Struthio camelus: one gene and its partner. Each later gene encodes a partner of the first gene's protein in a complex. Links are inferred from orthologs where the notes say so. Each region holds a gene or a part of one and is shown in the gene's direction. Other genes may lie near its edges.

Region 1 (10,296 bases):
TGCATTTCGGCACAAACGGGCCGGGGACGGGTGGCGGTGAGGATGGGAAGCCGTCCCGCGGTGTCCCCTCGCTGCGGGGGCTCGCAGCAGCCACGGCCCCTTGCTGTGACTCGCAGGCAGGGCCGGTCTCTGTGGGAAATGCTGCCGCGGGTCCCCTCGCGTGGGACTTGCCTCTGCCTTGCCCAGCCTCCTGCCCCCGGAGGGTGCAAAGCTGGCCACCCCGGGGCGCCTGCCTCTGGCACGAGGGACGGGGACGGTTGCAGGTCCAGCTGTCAGATGCGACATTTCCCTGGCCCTGGGGAGGTTGGAGGGGCCAGTGCATCAGCCCTGCCCGTGGCTCTCTGGGGAGCAATCATCTGAGCTGAGCCCCAAATAATCTGTGCTGGCACCAGGGCTGGAGGGCAGCGAGTGGGGCTGGAGCTGAGCTGAGCGCGGCTGGGCCTGGATGGGCGCTGTCATGATGCATGCAGCACCGGGCTGTGTCCCCGGCTGTCATCCGCTGACGGTGCTGCGGAAAGCCTGGCTGCACCGACCAAAGCCTGCAGATCTGCCAGGGAGCAGCAAGGGGCAAGTCGGAGCTTGGCTCTGCCCTGGGGGCTGGGGAGGGGGGCCTGGCTCTGCCACAAACCTGCAGCAAGACTGCTCTGCTCGGTGGCTTGCTGCAGCCAGCGTGGAAGCAGCCCATGGCTGCTGGGGTACTTGCAGTGGCCTCATCGCGTGGCTCAGGGTCTGGCAGACTGGACAGGGGTTTGGCAGCAGCTGTGTGCATTTATGAAGGCCAAGGAGCAGGGCAGAGACATTTGCAGAAGGCAACTTAGCAGAGGCAGATGTGAAAGGAGCTGCACAGGGACTACCCTGTGGCCTGCACCCACTGTGCCTGGTCTAGCTGCAGCTTGAGGTCTTTGGGAGCCCACAGCCAAGAAGCAAATTTTTCTGAGAAGCAAAAGTCAGAGCATTAAGCAGCCACATTGCCCTTCCTTGTTCTGAACTCACTCTCCACACGCAGGGAGCCCTGAGCATCTGCAGGGCAAAGCCTACGCAAGGTGTAGCGGTCCTCACCTGCACAGCACAGGAGGTGTAATCAGCATCTCATATATAAAGCTGAAAATGAGCATCTCCCCGTGGCTGTTGGAGAAAAGGGCCAGTCACCTCTCGGGAGCTCAGCTAGGCCTGCTTTTCCATGGCAAACTCAAGGCAGAGCATGAGGCCCACAGGGCTGTCACCCTTATTTGCACTCAGGGCAGGAGACACCCCAGTTAGTGCCTGCAGCAGCTAGGCTTTGGCTGAGCTCGACATGCCTTCTATGAACGCTGTCTCGATTTCATTTTCTAAAGCTGAGCTTCTTAGCCAGAGGGTAATCCTGCTCCAGGAGGTGGGAATTTTTCTCCCTTTCCTTGTGCAGCACTGCTGCTGTTTATATTTTCCCCCGGACTCCATCTAGCGGAAAAGCCCTGAGCAGATTTTGCAGGGAAATCTGGAGGTCCCGGCTGGCCAGGTCCCAGAGAGGCTGAGGAGTAGAAGGCATCAAGGCTGCGATCAGAGGAGATGGGCTGAGCTCCTCTCGGCCCCGATGGGAGGCTCGCGAGATGCTCGGTGCGTGGGAAGGGAAAAGTGGGCAGCATCAGGAGCTGTCGGTGCAGGAGGTGCCAGGCCGCCAACCGGCCTTGCTGCCACAGTGCAGCTCAGCACCTTGCCTCCAGCTGCCAAGCAGCGGGCACGGCACGCTGAGGGGCGCCTGGACTGCCACAGGCACAAAGTAGCTTTCAGGACAGGGTTCCTACATGAAGAAACTGTGTGAGGAGCAGTGGTTGAGGAGAAAGATCGGGCAAAGCCCTTTTGCCCCTGTCCAGTGAGGGAGAAGGGGAGGAGGGGGCATCTCCCAACCCCGGAGAGCTAAACCAGCTCTGAGGCTGACAGAGTGCAGGTAAACACGACCCCCAGGGTTGTCTGAGCCCTTGGGTAAGCAGCTGAGATTAGAAACAAGGATTTGGAGACCCCTTCGAATCACAGACGGTGGGGCCAGATGGGGCCATGCCATCCACCTGCCACAGTCAAGGTCTTGCTGCGCCATCCCAGGCAGCTGCTCCCCCAACCCACTCTCCAGCCCCCTGCAGTGGCGTCTCCACCCTTCCTCACTCAGTGATTTTCCGTGTGCTGCTCTGGGTTTGACTGAAATCACTCTCTTTGCCGTTTAAACAGCATCTCGCATCCCCATCACACTGTGCAAGCGCACAAAGAGTTATGCTAGCAGTTTTTTTACAGATGATGATAAAAACTTCTACGATGACAAGGGACAGGGGAGCCCATGGTGCTATATAATAAAGAAGCATTTCACAGCACCCTCTGAAAGATGGGTCATTCACAAGTGCTTCCAGGTTAAAATACTGAAGCTAGTAAAGCTGAAGACAGCATCACGGTGGCCATCCAACCTGTCCCATCAACCTCCCTGTGAAGGGGCCTGAGCACTAAGGCGCGATGCTCGCTTGAGGGCACCAAGGCGCGACGCTCGCTTGGCGTGGTCCCTGTGGCCTCCTCCTTGTACAAAAGGAGTTAATCGCTGACCTAAAAATTAACAGTTGCCTGGTACTGGGGATCATGATCTGATTACGTTTGCTTTGCATAAACAGCTTATGGTGCCAATCAGTGATACGTATACTGAAACCTTCATGGGGGCCTGCTTCCCCAACCTGCAGGCCACTGTCTGCACAACTGAACAAGAGCGAAAGCTGAAATTTGGCTGTGTTAGCAAAGACAAAGGGATTTGTGTTAGCAAAGGGAATTGTTTGAAGTCTTGCTATGATGTATCCTCAAAACACAGAGTTCAACACATGCATAATTTTGCATCAGGCAAAAAAGGCTATCAAAGAAGATGCTAAAGAAGCAGTACAATGTAAAACAAAATCACTTTATAGAGAATCATGGCATGGGAAAAGATAAAGAGCAAATAATAAAAGATTCAGGTTCGAAAAGAAACACGGGCAAGTGCCAAGGATGCTCTAAGGTAGCTTGGCTGAGGCAGGTCCCAGCGGTAAGGAGGCATTTCCAGAACACCTGAATTGGAAAGCATAAGCGGTCAGGTAAAGACCGACTGCAGCACAGGGATGGGCAATTCAGACACTGGCATAACAGGCTGCAATGTTCAGCAGCTGCTCTTGTTCTGTATTGGAAACCAAGTTGGAGAATCCATCATTTTGGATAATGTAGATGGAAAAGAAAGTTTGCCATCTATCCCAAGGCCTTTTCTACCCAGAGAAGAAGCTTTTAGGTCACTGGTAAATGTGACTCCCAGGCAGGAGCCACACCACAACAAGGAGCACTCGCTGGGCCTCTCGTATTAACTCTTGACAAAACTTGGACCACTACAAAATATGAGGATTGTAAAAATAATTCCAAGATTTAAAAAGGATTTTCTAAGTGCCCCAGACTGCTTAACCTGACCTCCGCCATGAGCAAAATAGGGGAATGATTAATTCACTATTTAGGGATTAAACATATAAATAATGTCCATAAACATAGTTTCCTGGAAAGTCGCCTTGCCAACCTATCCTTCGGGTTTTGGAGGAGACTATGAGTCTGACGATTTGGTTTACAAAACATGTCCAAGGTGTTTTGGACTTAGAGCTATATAGTACCATAAGACATTCCTGGTTAGGGGGACGTGGACTTTCTGGGATGAGACACTAGCTAGTTCTATTCTACACACACTGATTTATGTGCTGCTAATGCAGCCAAGGCATTGTTTAATTTGCCCTGGTATATCCCGCTTTCACTATTACTTACAAAGTCTTTCATAAAGTCCCCAAACAGCCCGTCCTGGGAGGCTGGCGGCAATTAACTCTTGTTATCAAAGAGAGTCTTCCCAGCACGAATGAAAGAGCAGATGGGGCGGGGGGGGGGGGCTCCTACCTGCAAAATCCTTCATTAAAAAGGCATGAGTCCCTGCCGGAGCTTTTCAGCTTTCCTGAGGAAAGAGGCACCCACTGCCGGTCCAGCAGCGAGACCTCCTCTCTGACATGCATATGTAAAAAGGCCACAGCTAAATGCCACTGTATTTGCATAGCACTATTTTCTGCAAATTCTCAGCATTTTGGGGAGGAATGGGAAGAAGCAGCTGAGAGAACTTTTCCTAGCTCTTGGCTTTAGTTCTGAGCCTTAGAAGTCCTCACCTGGATGCAGAAGTGTGGCTGTCTCGTCACCCTCGCTTTGCTTGCACATGCACGACCTGCCCTTGGTGGGGTTTAGACCCCCTCAAGCCACGAAAAAGTCATGAAAGAGGTGATCCTGCAGCCCCATCCTGCACGAAACCCCCCAACAATTTGTCCGGACTACCGCCCCCTCCCAGCCTCTCCCTGCTGCCCTCCTGTGGCCTCGCACATGGGGAAGGTGGTCCAGGCGGCCTCGGTGACCAGCGTGTTTTTGTGGCTGCAGAGATGAGCCAAACTCCTTTCCCTTCCCAGCGTGAAGCGCTCGAGGATCGGTGTCCCTCCCCGCCGCCCGGCACGCGCCTGGGCCATCCGGCGTCGGGCCATGGGCAGGCAGGATGCCCTGATGGCAGGGCATGCCTGATGATACCGTGTTTTGATTTTTGCCTTGGCCGGACGTGCTGAGAAAGGGACGCCGGGGAAGAGGCAGCTGGGAAAGTCCGGGACAAGGAAAACCTCGCGGTCGAGGCCGCCGGAGGCGCGTGCCCCCCCGGCGCGTCTCGTTGTCCTGGGCGAGCCTCTCCTCGCCTCGTGCTTCAGTTGCCCGAGCGCTGGCGCGGAGAGGAGGCTATTTCACCTCCTCCAAAAGAAGAAGGGCCGCTGTGAAACCGAACTGGGGTGCCCCGGGTTTCTCGCGGCTGCCAGTCTGGGCTGCCGAGCTGCGTGTCCGGGCCGGGTCCCGTCGGTGGCTCGTGGACGCGGCGCGTTTGCTGCCCGTAAGGCGCTGGTCTCTCCCCTGAATTGGGGCCCATCAGCGCCTGGCACATGCAGGTACTAAGGTGCGCGGGGAGCACGGGGAGGCGCTGAGCCTCCCTGCCCGGGCTGCGGGAGCCGCTGCCGTGTTTGGTACCTGCCGCCCTCTGGCTTGGTCTCATTGGCGGCGGCCGGCGGTACCGGCGGCGAGCCCGGGCCCCGCTGGCACCGGGCGACGCGGCTGAGCGAGCGCCCGGCCGGCGGGGCCGCCACGGCGGGAGGCGCGGGGGGGGGGGGGCGGGCCCGGCGGGGCGGCTCGCTTTTCGGTAACGCCACAGAGGAGCTTCCGAAGCGCCGGGCCGGGCGGGGCCGCCAGGGGGCGCCGCGCCACCGCCGACCGGGCCGCGGCGGGATGCGGGCAGCGCGCGGGGGGCGGCGAGGCCTGGGCGGGGGCAGCGGCCCCCGGGTGGAGCCCCGGCCCGGCCCGGCCCGGCCCGGCCCGGCCCGCGGCGGCGCAGCGCCCCGGGCCGCCCCGCCGAGCGCGGCACGCGCCGGCCCCGGCTCGCCGGCAGCGCCTCTCCCTCATTGGTCGCGCCCCTCTGAGTCTCCGCCCCGCCGGCCGCCAGCCGCGCTGCTATTGGCCGGCGGCGCGCGGCTGGCCCCGCCCCCGCCCGCCTGGCGTACACACCGGAGTCACGCGCCCCCTGGGTTGGGGACGCAGCCGGGGCGGGCGGGGCGGGGCCGGCGCGGCATTGGCGGAGGGCTGAGCGCCTGGCCCCGCCCCCGCGGCGCCGCGCGGGCGCTGATTGGCGGCGCGCGCCGCCGGCCCCGCCTCCGCGAGGCGGGCGGGGGAGGGGCGGCGAGGGCAGGGGCTTGAGGCGGCGCTCGGCTCGGCCCGGCCCGGCAGTCGCCGCCTGTCGGGTCCCGCGGGCTAGCCGTGCCCGCCGCCTCGCCCGCCGCGCCTGCCCGCCCGCCACCGCCGCCGCCGGAGGAGCCGGGGCACGCCGCAGGCGCCGCGCGGCGATGCGGGGCCGCGGCGGCGCCGAGCCCTGACTAAAGATGGCCGCGCTGCCCGGTGGGAACATGGCGGGGGGCGGCCGGGGGGCGCGGGTGGTGCTGCTGCTGCTGCTCGGCGCCTGCCTGGGCCAACGGCCGCCGGCCTCCGCCGCCGCCTCGGCGGCGGAGGAGGAGACGGTGATCATCGGCCTGCGGCTGGAGGACACGGACGACGTCTCCTTCATGGAGGGGGGCGCGCTGCGGGTGAGCGAGCGGACGCGGGTGAAGCTGCGGGTCTACGGGCAGAACATCAACAACGAGACGTGGTCGCGCATCGCCTTCACGGAGCACGAGCGGCGGCGCGGCGGGCGGGCGGCGGCGGGGGCGGCGGCGGGGCGCGGCGGCGGGGGGCCGGGCGGCGGCGGCGCCCCGCAGCGCTGCGGCATCCGCACCTCGGACATCATCATCCTGCCGCACATCGTGCTCAACCGCCGCACCTCGGGCATCATCGAGATCGAGATCAAGCCCCTGCGCAAGACGGAGAAGAGCAAGTCCTACTACCTGTGCACCTCGGTGTCGGCCCCTGCCGCCGCCGCCCTGGGGCCCGGGGCCGCCGGCGGGCTGGCGGGAGCCGAGGGGCCGGCCGGACCCCCGCCCTGGGGTGAGACCACCTGGATCTACCACGACGGTGAGGACACCAAGATGATCGTGGGTGAGGAGAAGAAGTTCCTGCTGCCCTTCTGGCTGCAGGTGATCTTCATCTCGCTCCTGCTCTGCCTCTCGGGCATGTTCAGCGGCCTCAACCTGGGCCTCATGGCCCTGGACCCCATGGAACTGCGCATCGTGCAAAACTGTGGCACGGACAAAGAGAAGAACTACGCCAAGCGCATCGAGCCCGTGCGCCGCCAGGGCAACTACCTGCTCTGCTCCCTCTTGCTGGGCAACGTCCTGGTCAACACCACGCTTACCATCCTGCTGGACGACATTGCCGGCTCCGGGCTGGTGGCCGTGGTGGTCTCCACCATCGGTATCGTCATCTTCGGCGAGATCGTGCCGCAGGCCATTTGCTCTCGGCACGGCCTGGCCGTGGGCGCCAACACCATCTTCCTCACCAAGTTTTTCATGATGATGACCTTCCCGGCCTCCTACCCAGTCAGCAAGCTGCTGGACTGTGTCCTGGGCCAGGAGATCGGCACGGTCTATAACCGTGAGAAGTTGTTGGAGATGCTGCGGGTCACCGACCCTTATAATGACCTAGTCAAAGAGGAGCTCAACATTATCCAAGGAGCTCTGGAGCTGCGCACCAAGACAGTGGAGGATGTGATGACTCCACTCCGAGACTGCTTCATGATAGCTGCTGAGGCTGTGCTCGACTTCAACACTATGTCTGAGATCATGGAGAGCGGTTATACCCGCATCCCTGTTTTTGAGGGTGACCGCTCCAACATTGTGGACCTGCTCTTTGTTAAGGACCTGGCTTTCGTGGACCCTGATGACTGCACTCCGCTCAAGACCATCACCCGATTCTACAACCATCCGCTGCACTTTGTCTTCAATGACACCAAGCTTGATGCCATGCTGGAGGAGTTCAAGAAAGGTGGGACATGCCTGTCACAGGGGCGTAGGGGGGAGGTCGGGGTCAGTAGGTATCAGCATCCACCTTCGTACTATGAGCTGGCCTGGGGGATAAGAGGGCTCTCCAGGTACTCCTCTCCGTTTGCTGTTCCCAGAGGGGTTTGGGAAGGTGCACTCGGTACAGAGAGTGGCCTCTATTTAGGCACCTGTCACATCTGCCAGTTACCTGCCTCAGAAAGCTGGTGTGTGGCTGCTAGGTGATATGTGCCCCCTTCCTCTTTTTCCCACTGTTTTTGGGGGGGAGGTCTGTGGGCATAGTGCCAAGCAAGTTTCCCCCCTGCCCCATCCACCCAGTACAGTGGGAACTGCTGGTGTGAATCTGTGCTTGTTACTTGGCAGTGTCTTCTCTGTGCTCTTTCAGCTGGCCTGACAGTAAGGAGTGGGTGGGCTGCTCATGTAGCTCACTCATATCTTTCAGGCTTAGTGTGTACACACGTGCTGAGATAAACAAGGCTTTTAAACTCCATTCATAGGCTCAGCTGGGCGATTTCCATTCCCTGCTTGTGTTCCAACTGTTTTGATTGATGTTTTGATCTTGTAGCTTGTAAGTAGTTTCAGGGTGCTTTTCATGCATGAGCCTTAAAATATATTTGAACATGCTTGTTAGGGGTACGCTTCAGTGTTACAGACCTCTTCACCTAGGCTTCCCTCTGCCCCGATAATCGGAGACTGAGCTGCGTGAAGACATGATCCTTTTTACCTCTCGCTGGCATAGCATGCGTATTAGTTGCATCAGAACAGGACTGAAGCTTTCCGACCTCATCTTAATTGTAGGAGATACTGACCTGACAAGTGCATCTTAGTTCCTGTTATAAGCCTTTGTGAGAAAGGACAAGTTTTCTTTTAATCTATTCTTCCGTTCAAGCCAAGTAATAGCGCAGGCTGTTTATCCTGGGCAGGAAAGCACTCTCCAAGAAATAGCAAATGAAACTTCAGATGGATAGGATATTTTTGGACTGCTGTACTGGAAAACTGAAGGTAATGTGAGCGCCATAGAGTTGATCATACCCTGGGAGTTCTGATCAAAGTACTACTGAACAGTTCAGTCCTGGGAGATAACCTGACTGAAAAAGGAGATCTTTATAGCTGCGTTGACACCACAGCGAGGCTAATAAGGAATATTTGAGTTAACCTTTTATCAGCTGCAAAAGTTATCTCCAGAAGAACTTTGTAAGTTGCGCTTATGGTCCTTCTAGGTAATAAACTCTGCCATTTGAATGTCCGTGTACTGTTTGATCCACACGCTGAGCTCTGACGGCATGGCATTTGGTCTGTTTCTTCTTGGTTTAACACTATTTCTGTGATTTAAGGGATTATTCCATTGGTTTCATGATCTGTATTTCATCTTCACAGATAAAAGCAAACATGCTCCTACTTTTTACTGACTAGACTAGAACAGCAAGTGTTTTGTTTTAACCCTTTCTACCTTTGGGTAGAGAAGGGGAATTCTTATTCAGGTTCAGAGCTATTGAACGAGAGATGAGACAGCGCCTAATCTATGGTCTGTATGCTACAGAATCTGCGGCTCGGGTCTGAAACTAAGTTAATGTCACTCTAACTGTTGGCTACTTAAGGTAATTTTTGCCACGTATGCGGGCATAGCATTTTTCTTTCCCCTCTGCCCCTGCCTCCTCCTCGTTCTTCTGACTCGAGAAGATAACATGTCTGGGTAGTTTCTCTCTACCTAAGTTTGTAGTTTTCTTGTTTTGTTTGTAGCAATATGTCTGAAGGAATGGAAACTGTTGGATGCTTTATTTCCCCTATCTGAAGGAGATGAAACACAGCCCTGTGTGTTAACACAGGAGTCCTTTTTATTTAATTGCAGGGAGAACTAGGTATTCATTTTAATCCTGCATGTGTGGCTGAGTCAAATATTGCTTCTAACAATTTTTGAAGCTTGTGCTTAAAATGGGCTTCATAATTTCTTCTGGGTCGCTTGGAAGGTACAAACAGGAGATCACTTTCCCCGGTAGCTGGAGGATTTCCCTTGCTTGCACAAGAAACGTCCCATTAGCACAAGCCTAGGATAACTTCCTCATGTGTGTGTTCCCTCCTGAGGTCACTTTTCTTTCTGGAATAGTCTATGTGGTAGTGAATTAATTCAGGATAGTTTGGTCATACTTACGTATTACTCCAGAATAGCTGTGCTGGATGACTTGTATTGACAAGCCCCAATGGTAGGACCAGTTTTGTACTAACTAGTTTCTCTTTAAAAGTACAGATATGATGGAAATAAATGCCTTCCTTTGTGTCTGTTGAAGTGAATGTAAATAACCGATAGCTTGCTTGATCTGGCATAGCACAGTGTCTTTTGCAAGAGGTCTTCAAACTTTCTTCTTTCGAGCCATCTTGCCAAATTCCCATGAGAATGTATAAATTAAGGGGGAGACTTGAATTGTGTGTTGCTCTCTAGTACAGTATTGAAAATAAACAAACTTACTGTTTCTAACCATTCTCTTACCACCACATTGGTCTTCCACCACAGCAGACTTGCTCGACAAGCCCTGCGCGTGTGTGTTCCCCGACCTGGCTCCCCACCGCTGCTGTTCAGTGCAGTGGGCAGCTAGTGTCACAGTGCTGCTGTCAATTGAACAGTTTAATTGGCTTAAAGAAAGAGGCCTATTCTCTGAGAAGTGTAGTAATTAGCTGGAGGTGGGGGTCTGAAGCTCACTTTTTAGGCAGGAACAAAACATTCTTGGCCCAAACTTAGAATTGAGACTTACAAGCAGGCGATTAAAAGCCAAGCATTGTAAGATATAAGTACTTGGAC
Region 2 (10,179 bases), on another chromosome or scaffold:
TCTGTTGGCTAAGTGCCAACCATGAACGTTAAATCTGTTGATTGGCTGTTGACAACTCCTGTACAGCATGCACATCTGGTTTTAGGAGATCATGCCGTGAAATAGCATTACTTCTTCAGTCACGAAAAGTCCTTCTTTAGGAGCTCTCCAATGTTTTAACACGTGCTGAACATAAACTCAATTCCAGAGACAGTAATTTCAATGAATAAATAGAAGCTACACGAGGACTGAAAGTTCAATGAATTTTCCAAATAAATAGTTGAAAAGGAGCTGCAGAATGTTTCTTTGTATTTATGAAGTATCAATAGTACTTTTGCACTCCCTCTAACCAGATCACAAATGAAGCATATTACCCGAGTTCCACAAAGAAATTGAAATGGCCTTCCATTCTCATAGTAAGAGCAGTTTTAGGAGCTGAAAATGGAAAATAGCTCTTATTATCTTATCTTTATTCTCATTAAAGCATATGGACAAGATGTAGAAAAGACCATGATCCTACACTGGAATCCTTTAGCATGTATCACTTTATCTATGAAGAGCCCATCGACATTAATAAGCCAAGAGATCTATGCTAAAAATCCTGACAATCAATTCACAAAATTTTTATAAACATGTATAGACAATGAAATCAAACAAATATGAAGAATTAATTGTAAAGTCTTTCAGTTTTGATCACGTGCTAAAGTAACACAGGGAAAAAACGTGCTTACTTTCTACAACAGGCTAAATTCTGCATCATGCTCCAACGCCTTTATTCCACTCAAAAACACAAATACATCAAATATATCTGTAATACATCAGCAGAGAAATTTGCACAACAGAAAGGTGCTCCCTTCTAGCAGTAAGCTAGCAGATCTGAGGCATTAGCGTGAGCCAACACTACCTCCACAAAGAGAGGAAAGAAGAGGGCAAGATACAGCACAGTTCCATCAGTCTTCCACTAGAATAATGTTCCTCAGGTGCTACAGACAAGCAGTAGAGGGCTCTAACTCATAACGTGGCCATTTTCTGCGTTTTCTCCAGTCTTCAAATATTTTTCGCAACTCTGCATTCTAACCAATAAGCCAATCTCTTTTTAAAAGATGGCTGTGGATCTGTCACATCTCAAACACAAGTACTACACACACAACCGACTTCTGCTCACGTTCTCCTGCAGTCTTCTCCACCCCATTAGCCTGAATGCCGGGTATCCAGGACACGCAATCTGAGGGAGCCCATGCCACTGAATCGAAGCTGAGGGGGGAGGAGAAAAATGGATAAGGGTTGTAGGGATAGGGGTAAAGGAAGGGGCTGGTAATAGGGTACATGGCAAAATGCCACAACACAGGCTCCACACACATTGGTTTTTTATATCAGAAAATAAGGCAATCTAAGAGGTCTATGGATAACAGAACTGCATATATTATTTCAATATTCGGTATCAATGCTGTTCAAAAATAAAATCTCTCTACTCCTTCTCATTATTTCCAGTTATATACCTAAGGATCACATTAGCATTTTTACTGTTATACCAGTGTCCTGGGAGCGCATATTTACTTACTTGTCCATTACGATCCCTGGACTTTCTTCAAAGTAACAGAAGCATTCTTTAAAAACCTATAATTCTAGCTTTGTATTTCCTGCTTGGGGCTGCACTTAAACACATTTTTGAGTAAACACAAGTTATTAAACAAGCTAGATTTCTCTGTATAACTACTTCGTTGTTATTGTTACTTGCTATTCCATCAGTCTTTGTATCAGTAACAAATTTTATTTTCAGTGATCTTTGATTATACTCCTTTGACAAAAATGTCTGAAAGCACGAATGTTGATTCCTGCAGAACAGTGTCGTTCAGCAAGGATCACTTACCAACATTACTCTGAGATCGTTCAGTCAGAAAGTTCTGCCCCCACTGAATGCGTGCTCTAGAGCTATTTTGACAGCATAACACTATTTCTTCTGGAGCGTAATGTCACTTGGTACCAAATAAAATACTTACAAAAGCGTTACAGTTACGCAGTTACGTTTATACCATTCTTGTAATCTTATCAAAGCATTAAGTCAGCTTTGTTTAACAGTAGCTATTTTCCCTAGAACTATATTGATTTGCATTAATTATGTTCTTATCCTTTAATTCTTTTTTTATTGTAATTAGCTTAGTCACATATCAGTTTTCTATTAGATGCCAGTCTAACCAGTTCAAAGTCAACCCACTTAACTCTTTTAAACATTGGCGTAACATTAACATAGATACAGTCTTCTGGAATTTCATCAGAAGAAGTTACAGTTAATATCCGCAAGTCAAAGACCCTGAAGTGTATAAATTCATTTCATACAGATAACCTAGTAATAGGCACATCAATGTCTATACAAAATGCCTCCAATTTCATTCAAATTCAACCTAGGATTAGTTCAGGTAAAAGTTCAGGCAAACTTTAAACCATATGCAACTAATACTGATGCAAAGAAAGGACAAGCAGTTTCAATTGCTCCTGATTTCTCTTCCCAATAAGCAATCATATTTTCCTTTTTTCCCCTCCTGTTAGGATATGAAGATATATGAAATCGCAAGGACAATTGCTTTCTATCTAGAAAAGTAACTATCTGCAAAAGACAAACACATTAAAAAATAAGTATTTTTACTTATGTCTTGGAGTAATATATTACTTAGTCTATGAGTAATATTAGGTGATACATAAACTTTAAAATGCTTGAAATATGTAATTTTCACAAATCCCATAGCAGCAGCATTCTCAAACCAGAACACATGTGCTAGGTAAAGTAATGCAAATCATTCCAAATTAATACATGGACACTGTGTGATTTGCACATTGGAAACTATTTCTTTTCTGGCCTATTTAAAAAAATAGGAATATAACTTTTTCTTTTTTCTTTTCTTTTTCTTTTTTTTAAGTACAGACAAGGTTGGCAAAGATGAAAAGATGATCAGAAGAAAGAACTGGCTTCCTTACACAGAGAGATTAATTATAGATCAGGATTCCTCATCTTGACAAAAGTGTCTTGCAACGTATATAGAGTATATACTCTGTTATATAAAGAAAGTGAATTTGGAATGTTTATCAGTATTGGATTTCTGAGAACGAGATGACATAAAATTATCAGAGATTATGAAGCAGCAGCTTTTATAAAGCAAAAGGAAGTAATTCTGGCATAAAGTATCACCATTTTGATTTTTGCAACTTCAGCATTCTGTAGACTGACTGGTTTAGTACACAACTTCTTATACAACTTTCAGAAAATATTGATCATGCAGAGTCAACTAGATCAACACTTGGAACTACTGACAATTCAGGCTATGTCCAGATTTTATTTTTGACTCGAGTGCTTCCAAAAAATATTCAAACTTTGTCCTCCTATGACCTCTTACATTAAAAGTTATATTAATCTTCTTTAACAACTGACTGCTTTCTTTGCCTCCCATCTTGATCGTATCAGTCTCTACTGAATTCTCCGCACCAGTTTTTCTTTACAGGAATTTCTTGTCCTCATCTTTGAAGCCCTTCAGGAGTCATCCCTTTTTTTTTTCTGTTCCTTTCTGACTTCTCAATCCACTCTGTTTCACCAGTTCACTAGTTTCCTTGTCATAACTATTCATTTGACTATGCAGATAAAGAGTCGGTTTAATAAATTGTGCCCACTTTCTCTCCAGGAATCTTCCCAGCATTGCACCCACCAATAAATAAGCAATACTTTAAGCAGCCAGTAATTTTGGGATCATTTTATTATTTTATAGGACTTTGAAGAACATTTTTTAGGAAGTTTTACACAGGGGAGTGCAAGTAGCTACAAGTTCACCAGATGGGTGCCCTCAGTCCACCAGTAAATACAAAATGCAAATGTAAGTAAATGCAAAAGCACTTCAGGTGTATTTATAGCCAAGAGACAAACAGCATTTTAGCTTAGTAGAAGCATGGCTCCCAGACAGAAATTAGCCTATGCCAATCCAGTCTGAACCCAGGGGAAGTGAAAACACAAGTGCCTGCAGGAGCAAATACAGACAGACTCTGAATGACACGTCTTGCATACTTGATAACAAGAAAATCTCTTCTGTACGAACCATGATTTCTGGAGGTTATACAAAAAACAAAAAAAAGAGAGAAAATTTAGGCAAAAACGCAAACCAGCTATGCCCTCGTACAAGCCAACACAAACTGCTGAGACTTACAACTGAATCATTTTCTTCGATCAAAAACAACTTCTGCAGACTCTGAGATTTATAATCTGTATACTAACAATGTTAAACAGAAGAAAGGCCTAAATAAACTAGAACTAGTTAAATAAACTAGAACGGTATCAGACTAACCAAAGCTAAAAATAGTGCAACATTTTATAGATAGCGCTGACCCAGATTAAGGTTTCTCCCAGGTCACGGTGTTCAACTGGGGATTGACTCCCATTCCTCTACCAGTTGAACACGACTGGTGCTCTAAGGGTTTCCTAGTCAGATTTCATCTATACCTCTGCCTTTCAGTAACGCCTGCCTGCCTGCCTCCTGAGAGACTGTTTTCTAGGAGTGAGACCACAGGGCTGAGAAAGTCCTTATTCTGTTTCCTTCACTACTTCTGGCCTGCTGGGCAGATTTCCCATCTATTAAAACAGAAATTATGATTTTAAAGTACAGAATGGTCTGCAGGCAGAAAATGCCAAGAGCTTCCTATTAGCATTAACGCTGCAGAAGAGATTTCGGCCTCCATGAATAAAGGAGCTCGGAGATTAAAACACACGCAGATCTGTGAGTATTCCACAAACGGTCAACTTGGGACCCTAACGCTGACGTGCGAGGACTGGAATAACCCCACCCCCTCCGCTAGTGTTACAGGAAAGCGGGCTTTCAGGCAATCCCGCCCTCACCACACCTTCTCGCACAGTCTCTCCCTGCGCTGCCCGTGCCGCCTTCTCGCGGCCCCGCTCACCGGCAGGCCCGCCCTTGCCCTCCGGGCCGGGGCCCGAGGCGGGACGAGCCGGCCGCACCCGGCACGCGCCAGACCGGCCACTGAGCGCCGGGCGCGCGCGGAAGAGTCTAGAACAACCTGCCCCAAGGGAGCCGGAGGCCGCGCCTGGGCCGGCGGCGTTTCCCGCGGAGGCAGCCGGCGGCCGCCAGCGAGAGGCGGAGCTGCCGCGCCGGGTGGCCTCTGGCCGGATCCCGCGACCCCCCCGTCTGCTCGGCCCACACCGTCCCCGCCCCCCCCCCTCAGCGCCGCGCCGCGCCGCGCCACGCCCCGCCCTCCCTTCCCTCGCAGAGCCCCCGGCCCCGCCGCCACTCGCTTCATTCACTAACCGGTTCTCGCCGGCTGCCTCCGCCTCTTGACACCCTCCCGCTCCCGCCCCCGCCCAGCCTGCTGAGACCACGCCCCGAAGCGGCCTCGGCCCCGCCCCGGACGCTCTCTCGGCGCCTCTGATTGGCGGGGCTCGACGCTCGTCACGGCGGTGCGTGAGCGAGGGGCGGGTGCGGCGGCGCTTGTGCAGGAGGCGGCGCCGAGGGTCCCTCCTTGTGCAGCCTCGTCCGCGTTAGCGCCGCGCCAGCCCCGCAGAAGCTGCCCGTCCGCTGCCGCCGCCGCCGCTGCAGCTGTATGGTCCATCCTCGCGCCGCCGCCGTACCCCCTCCGGCAGCTCCGCGGCCTCCAGCGCCTCCACATCCTCCTGGTTCTGCTTCTCCTGCCCCCGGCGGTGGCGCCCGCACCCCGGCTGTATGATCAGGCTACAGTCTTCAATGAGTAACCATATTCCTGTGAGTGCCGCCGCCGCGGGCCCCCGCCTCCCCCTGCGCGGCCCCTCCGGCCGGCGAGCGCCGCGCTGGTTGCCCTCGTGCTCCGGTTCCCTCGCCTCTCTTCCCCCCCCCCCCCACTCCACCCCGGTCTCCTCCATGTTGTCTCTTTGTTCTGTCGCCCGGGCCACGCCGGCTCCGGGCGGCTTCTTGCTGCGCCGGGCTGCGGCTCCTCCCCGGCGGGCCGCACGGCAGCGGGGCCAACGCGGCGGCGGCGCGGCTCTACCTTCCGCCCGCCCTGCCTCGGCCCTCGGCTTCCCTCGCCTCCTTTCGCGTGTCCTTCTCGCCCCTGCTACTCGCACTAGCTCGCCGGGAGGAGGGGGTGACCTCCCCGCGGCTCCCTCGCCGCCGAGCGGCCCGGGCCGCGCACAAAGCCGCTTTGTGAGCGTGGCCGCCGCCGGCCCCGCCCGCCGGCCCTGGTTCCCCCCCCCCGCCGGCCCGTCGGTGCCTGTCTGGCGGCGGCTCTCGGGCCGCGCTGGCGCAAACCGCCGCCTCAGCAAGGGCAGCGGCGGCGGTGGGGCGGGCGGCGGGGGCCGGGAGCCCCCTGTCGGGGGGAGCCGGGGCCGGGCGGCGGCTCCGAGTGACAAGATGGCTCCGTGTCAGGCGCCTGATCGAAGCGTGATTCAAACCCGTGATCGCCGCAGCCGGGGCGCCGGCCCGGCCGCTGGCGGCGCCCGGGCCCCAGGCGGGGAGGGTGAGGGTGAGGGCCGCGTCGGGGTGAGAGCAGCGTCCCCGGGGGAGGCGGGCGGCGCGGTGCGGCGCCCCGCGGTAACGTGGCGCTCGGCGGCCGGGCCGCGCCATGTGGCGCGGGGCGAGCGGCTGGGGCGCGGGGCAAGCCGAGGCTTGTCCGTGGGCGTCCGCCAGGCAGGTGGCGTCGCAAAGGAGCGTGAGGGCCGGAGACTGAATCATCGCGGAGGGGCGGGGGAGCGGCACGGGGAAGTCACGACTGGCGGCATGGCGCTGGCTGCGCCTGTGGCGCGGGCTCGCCTCGGCCTCCCTCCCTCCTCCTCCTCTTCTCCCCCTCGCCGCCGCCGCCGAGGCACGTGGGAAACCACCACCAAAGAGAGGGCGAAAACGGCAAAACGGCTTTCTTTGTCTGCGATATATCCGCACAGGGAATCAAAAGCAACTGTAACTTACTACGCGAATCTTCTTCGGAATGAGCTTTGTGCAGGGAAGTTGGGGGGGGGGGCGGGCATGGCCGTGCTAGTGCACGTAGTCTGTCCTCAGACTGGATTTTTAGACGGTTCTTTGGTGGGAAGAAAACTGTGCAGGGGAGTCGTTTAAATAGACGTTAAAGTGGATGTTTTTTGTAGGAGTCTGCCTTTGACCCTTAGAAGCTGATAAATCCAACCGACTATTTTAGTCTGACTGAAACTGCTTTTAAGGCCTTGTCTTCTGTCATTTCAAGAGCAGCGTTTTCTTCTGAAAAGGGATTATAGTTTAACATGAGAAATTTTTGCTTTTCTGACGTGTTTTGCTTTGTTCTTGCCCTCTGTCTGTATTGGCTAACTTCTCTAATATTAGCACACAGTATGTAGTTTGCGCACACAAGAAGTATGATGTTTATTGGTGGTGGAGCTACTCCCAAAAGTAGGGAAGCAAGAAAGACAAGAAGTTGTCAAAATCAGGTAACTATCATATGGTCACGGTAGAAGCTCGATTGGTGACAGTTGTGCACAGGCCTCAGTGGCTGTCAGGTAGTCAGCTAAATATATTGCAGATATCACAAGCTTAAAAAATATGCAGCCTTTGTGGCATAGGCGTTGTGTGATTCTTCTGTTTCTTACTGCTGCTGGAGACAACTTTCCAATATGTCTACCTGCATCTGCATAGAGTCCAAAACGGTGACTCAGAAGTATGAACCCCGTCTCCTCTTAATCTCATTAGACTGTCAAACGTAAAAACCTGAAGATGACACTTTAATGTCAGCCCTTGTTGTTCCATTGATAGAAAGGAAAATGGTTTTGAAATGAAGTCTTAAAGGAACAGGAACAGAATTGTTCTGCAAAAAAAATGTCAAGGAGACAGTACAGAAATCATGCAGATGGGAGGAAATGTGAGAGTGAAAAAGAAAAATGAATAGCTGATGCAGCAAAGGCCTGGAGAGAAGGTTGTTGTTGCTCTTAGTGAAGCTAAATTTGTCAGTAAGGCAGTAAATTAACGGAACTCATGTACTAAGACTAAATTCTTCCCTTTGTCTTGCAGAAACCTTCCTGTTTTGACTGAATATATGCCATGTAAGAATTCTGGATCTATCCCAATGTGTAGGCTGGCTGAAAGTGACCACTTACCCTGAAAAGTTCTTTGATTTGAGAGTTCAGGTTATTGCTGAATTCAGCACTACTAGTAAATTGTCACCTTCTGTTTAAAATACGTATATTAAACTCTGTTTCAAGTAAGTGTTAAAGGTGGACCCAAAACTCCTTACATCTTTCTTCACAAACACAGTGCATTGTTTGGCAGTCAGCATTTTATATTAGAGTTAATAAAAAACCAGCAATGACTGCCTCTGCATATATATCTTAATTTTTCTATGTCCTTGCTTAAAGTGTAATGGAGTAAGTCTTGAGTCAGGTGACGGGAATTATATAGCTCGCTGTTGAAGTTAAGAGCAACGTGAAGTCATTTTGAGACTCCTTGCTTTCAGAAACTTTGAAAAGAGGATGCCTCAGATGAGTCAAGGGGAATACTTTCTGTGATGTCCTGTTTCCCCGATGTCTGTTAAGCGTTTGTTTGTTTGTCCACACGTGGTTTTTCGTGGTGCGAGGAAGAGGACTAGAGAGATGGCCACAGGGCCTTAGTTTCATCATCTGTGGAAACTGCATTCAGTTAGTATACAGGAAGTTTTGTGATAATGCGTTCCCCTTCTTCCCCTAAACTGCATACTTTAGCCACAAGAACATCCTTCCTTCACAGACTAGCCTACAACAAATTTGTTGTAGGCTTTAGAATCTCTTGTTTGTGATATATGTTTCCTCAGGCTGCGGGTCACTTTCTCTGGCCTAAAACATACATAGTTTTATCACCGCTGATATTGTCATACAGACATTCCCGTATCTTATGTGTGGGAAATTAATCTTTTCAATGGTATCTAATGAGGGTGTGCCCCTACACAGTAGGGCTCAACCGTAATAAATAATGGCTCAACATTTTGTACCCTTTACCCTCCCCCTTCTTGTCTGCCTTGGCAGTTACCATTAGGCTTTGGATAGTGAGAGAAAGTCACTTGGATAGTAGGAGAAATTAAGTTAGAACAAAGAACTCTAACTTCATTACAATTTGGCAGTGCTCACAAATGAGTGTAGCTTTCTACTTTTATATTCTATGACTACAGTAACTAAGGATGAGCCCAAATAGTTGATTCTGGATGTCAATATTTTGGCAATTAGACCTCGCACAGACCTTCTTCCTAAGGTGAAGTGAAATGTCACGTAACTGTGTCAACAAACGCTTTCATTTTCATGCTTTTTTGAGATGCTACGACGTTAGAAACAAAACAGCAACAGCATGTAATAACCTTACACCTCTTTTCTTTCCGCATGTTGGGCAGCAATACATCTCTTTTGGTAAGTGGCCTTTTGCCAGATACAAGTGACTGTGTCAAACACAGAAATAACATGTTTGAATCTACTTGTCAGTGAGGACAAATACTTTAAATTCCTGTCTGAGAGAATGGCATGAATTAAAAAAAGAGCAAAAAAAAAAAAAAAGTTTAAGATGGCTTCCTCTTGCTCGAGTGAAGTATTCTCTAACTTCTCCTAGCGTACATGATGGTAAATGGAGCGACCATAATTAACATGAATTTGGCCCATATTGGACAGCATGCTTTTTCTTGGCATATTAACCTTAATTTTGTTTTTCAAGTTTAATTTGATGGGTCTGACAGTTTAAATATTGGTTGACTTTCTTTTACCAATAGAAGCTGCTGCTTGTTTCTCCAAAACCCTTCAGTGTTAGCTTTCTTCAAGGGAGACTGTCTTTGAAATGGAAAAAAATCTCTTGGACTGCCCAAATTGATGGTACAAACGATTAGTTGGTGATATTCTGTTGAAGAAACTTCTACATGCAATAGTATGCATTTGGGTTGCATATAATAATCCACTTAATCAGACTTGAGCTTTCCTGTACTGTTGAGTCTTGGCTTTCTTGATAGCTCACCTAGTGAACTATTTGGTGTCTGAAACAATTCAGTACTTTCAAAATTGCACTTTCAAGGCTCTTGAAAGTTATTTAAGTCATTTGAGTTCTCCCTAAGCACAAGTTGGTCTTGATTACAACAACAGTATTTCTGTAGTTGATGTCTTCTCTTCCAGGTCTTTCTGCTGGATACTGATGAAACCTTGTACCATATATACCCTGAATAGCATCCTAATAAGCTTGTTGTCTTTAATTCCCTTTTGATTCCTGGAAA

The links.
Region 2: the proteins of CNNM2 (region 1) and PTP4A1 are in contact, whole or in part, in a crystal structure (PDB 5MMZ), measured with the Mus musculus proteins. The link is inferred for Struthio camelus from reciprocal best matches to the Homo sapiens genes CNNM2 and PTP4A1. Residues at the interface, in NP_291047.2 of Mus musculus: Phe526, Asp528, Val551, Asn553, Glu556, Gly557, Asp558, Pro559, Phe560, Tyr561; in NP_035330.1 of Mus musculus: Asp72, Gly73, Ala74, Gly107, Leu108, Gly109, Arg110, Arg137, Arg138, Gly139, Ala140, Phe141, Asn142, Lys144, Gln145.

The regions. Positions count from the first base shown.
Region 1 is NC_090948.1:15,441,379-15,451,674, reverse strand, and holds the start of CNNM2 (metal transporter CNNM2), read left to right. Parts: upstream 1-5,954; coding exon 5,955-7,488; intron 7,489-10,296.
Region 2 is NC_090944.1:37,479,720-37,489,898, forward strand, and holds the start of PTP4A1 (protein tyrosine phosphatase type IVA 1), read left to right. Parts: upstream 1-5,489; 5' UTR 5,490-5,729; intron 5,730-10,179. UniProt on the Homo sapiens protein: Protein tyrosine phosphatase which stimulates progression from G1 into S phase during mitosis. May play a role in the development and maintenance of differentiating epithelial tissues.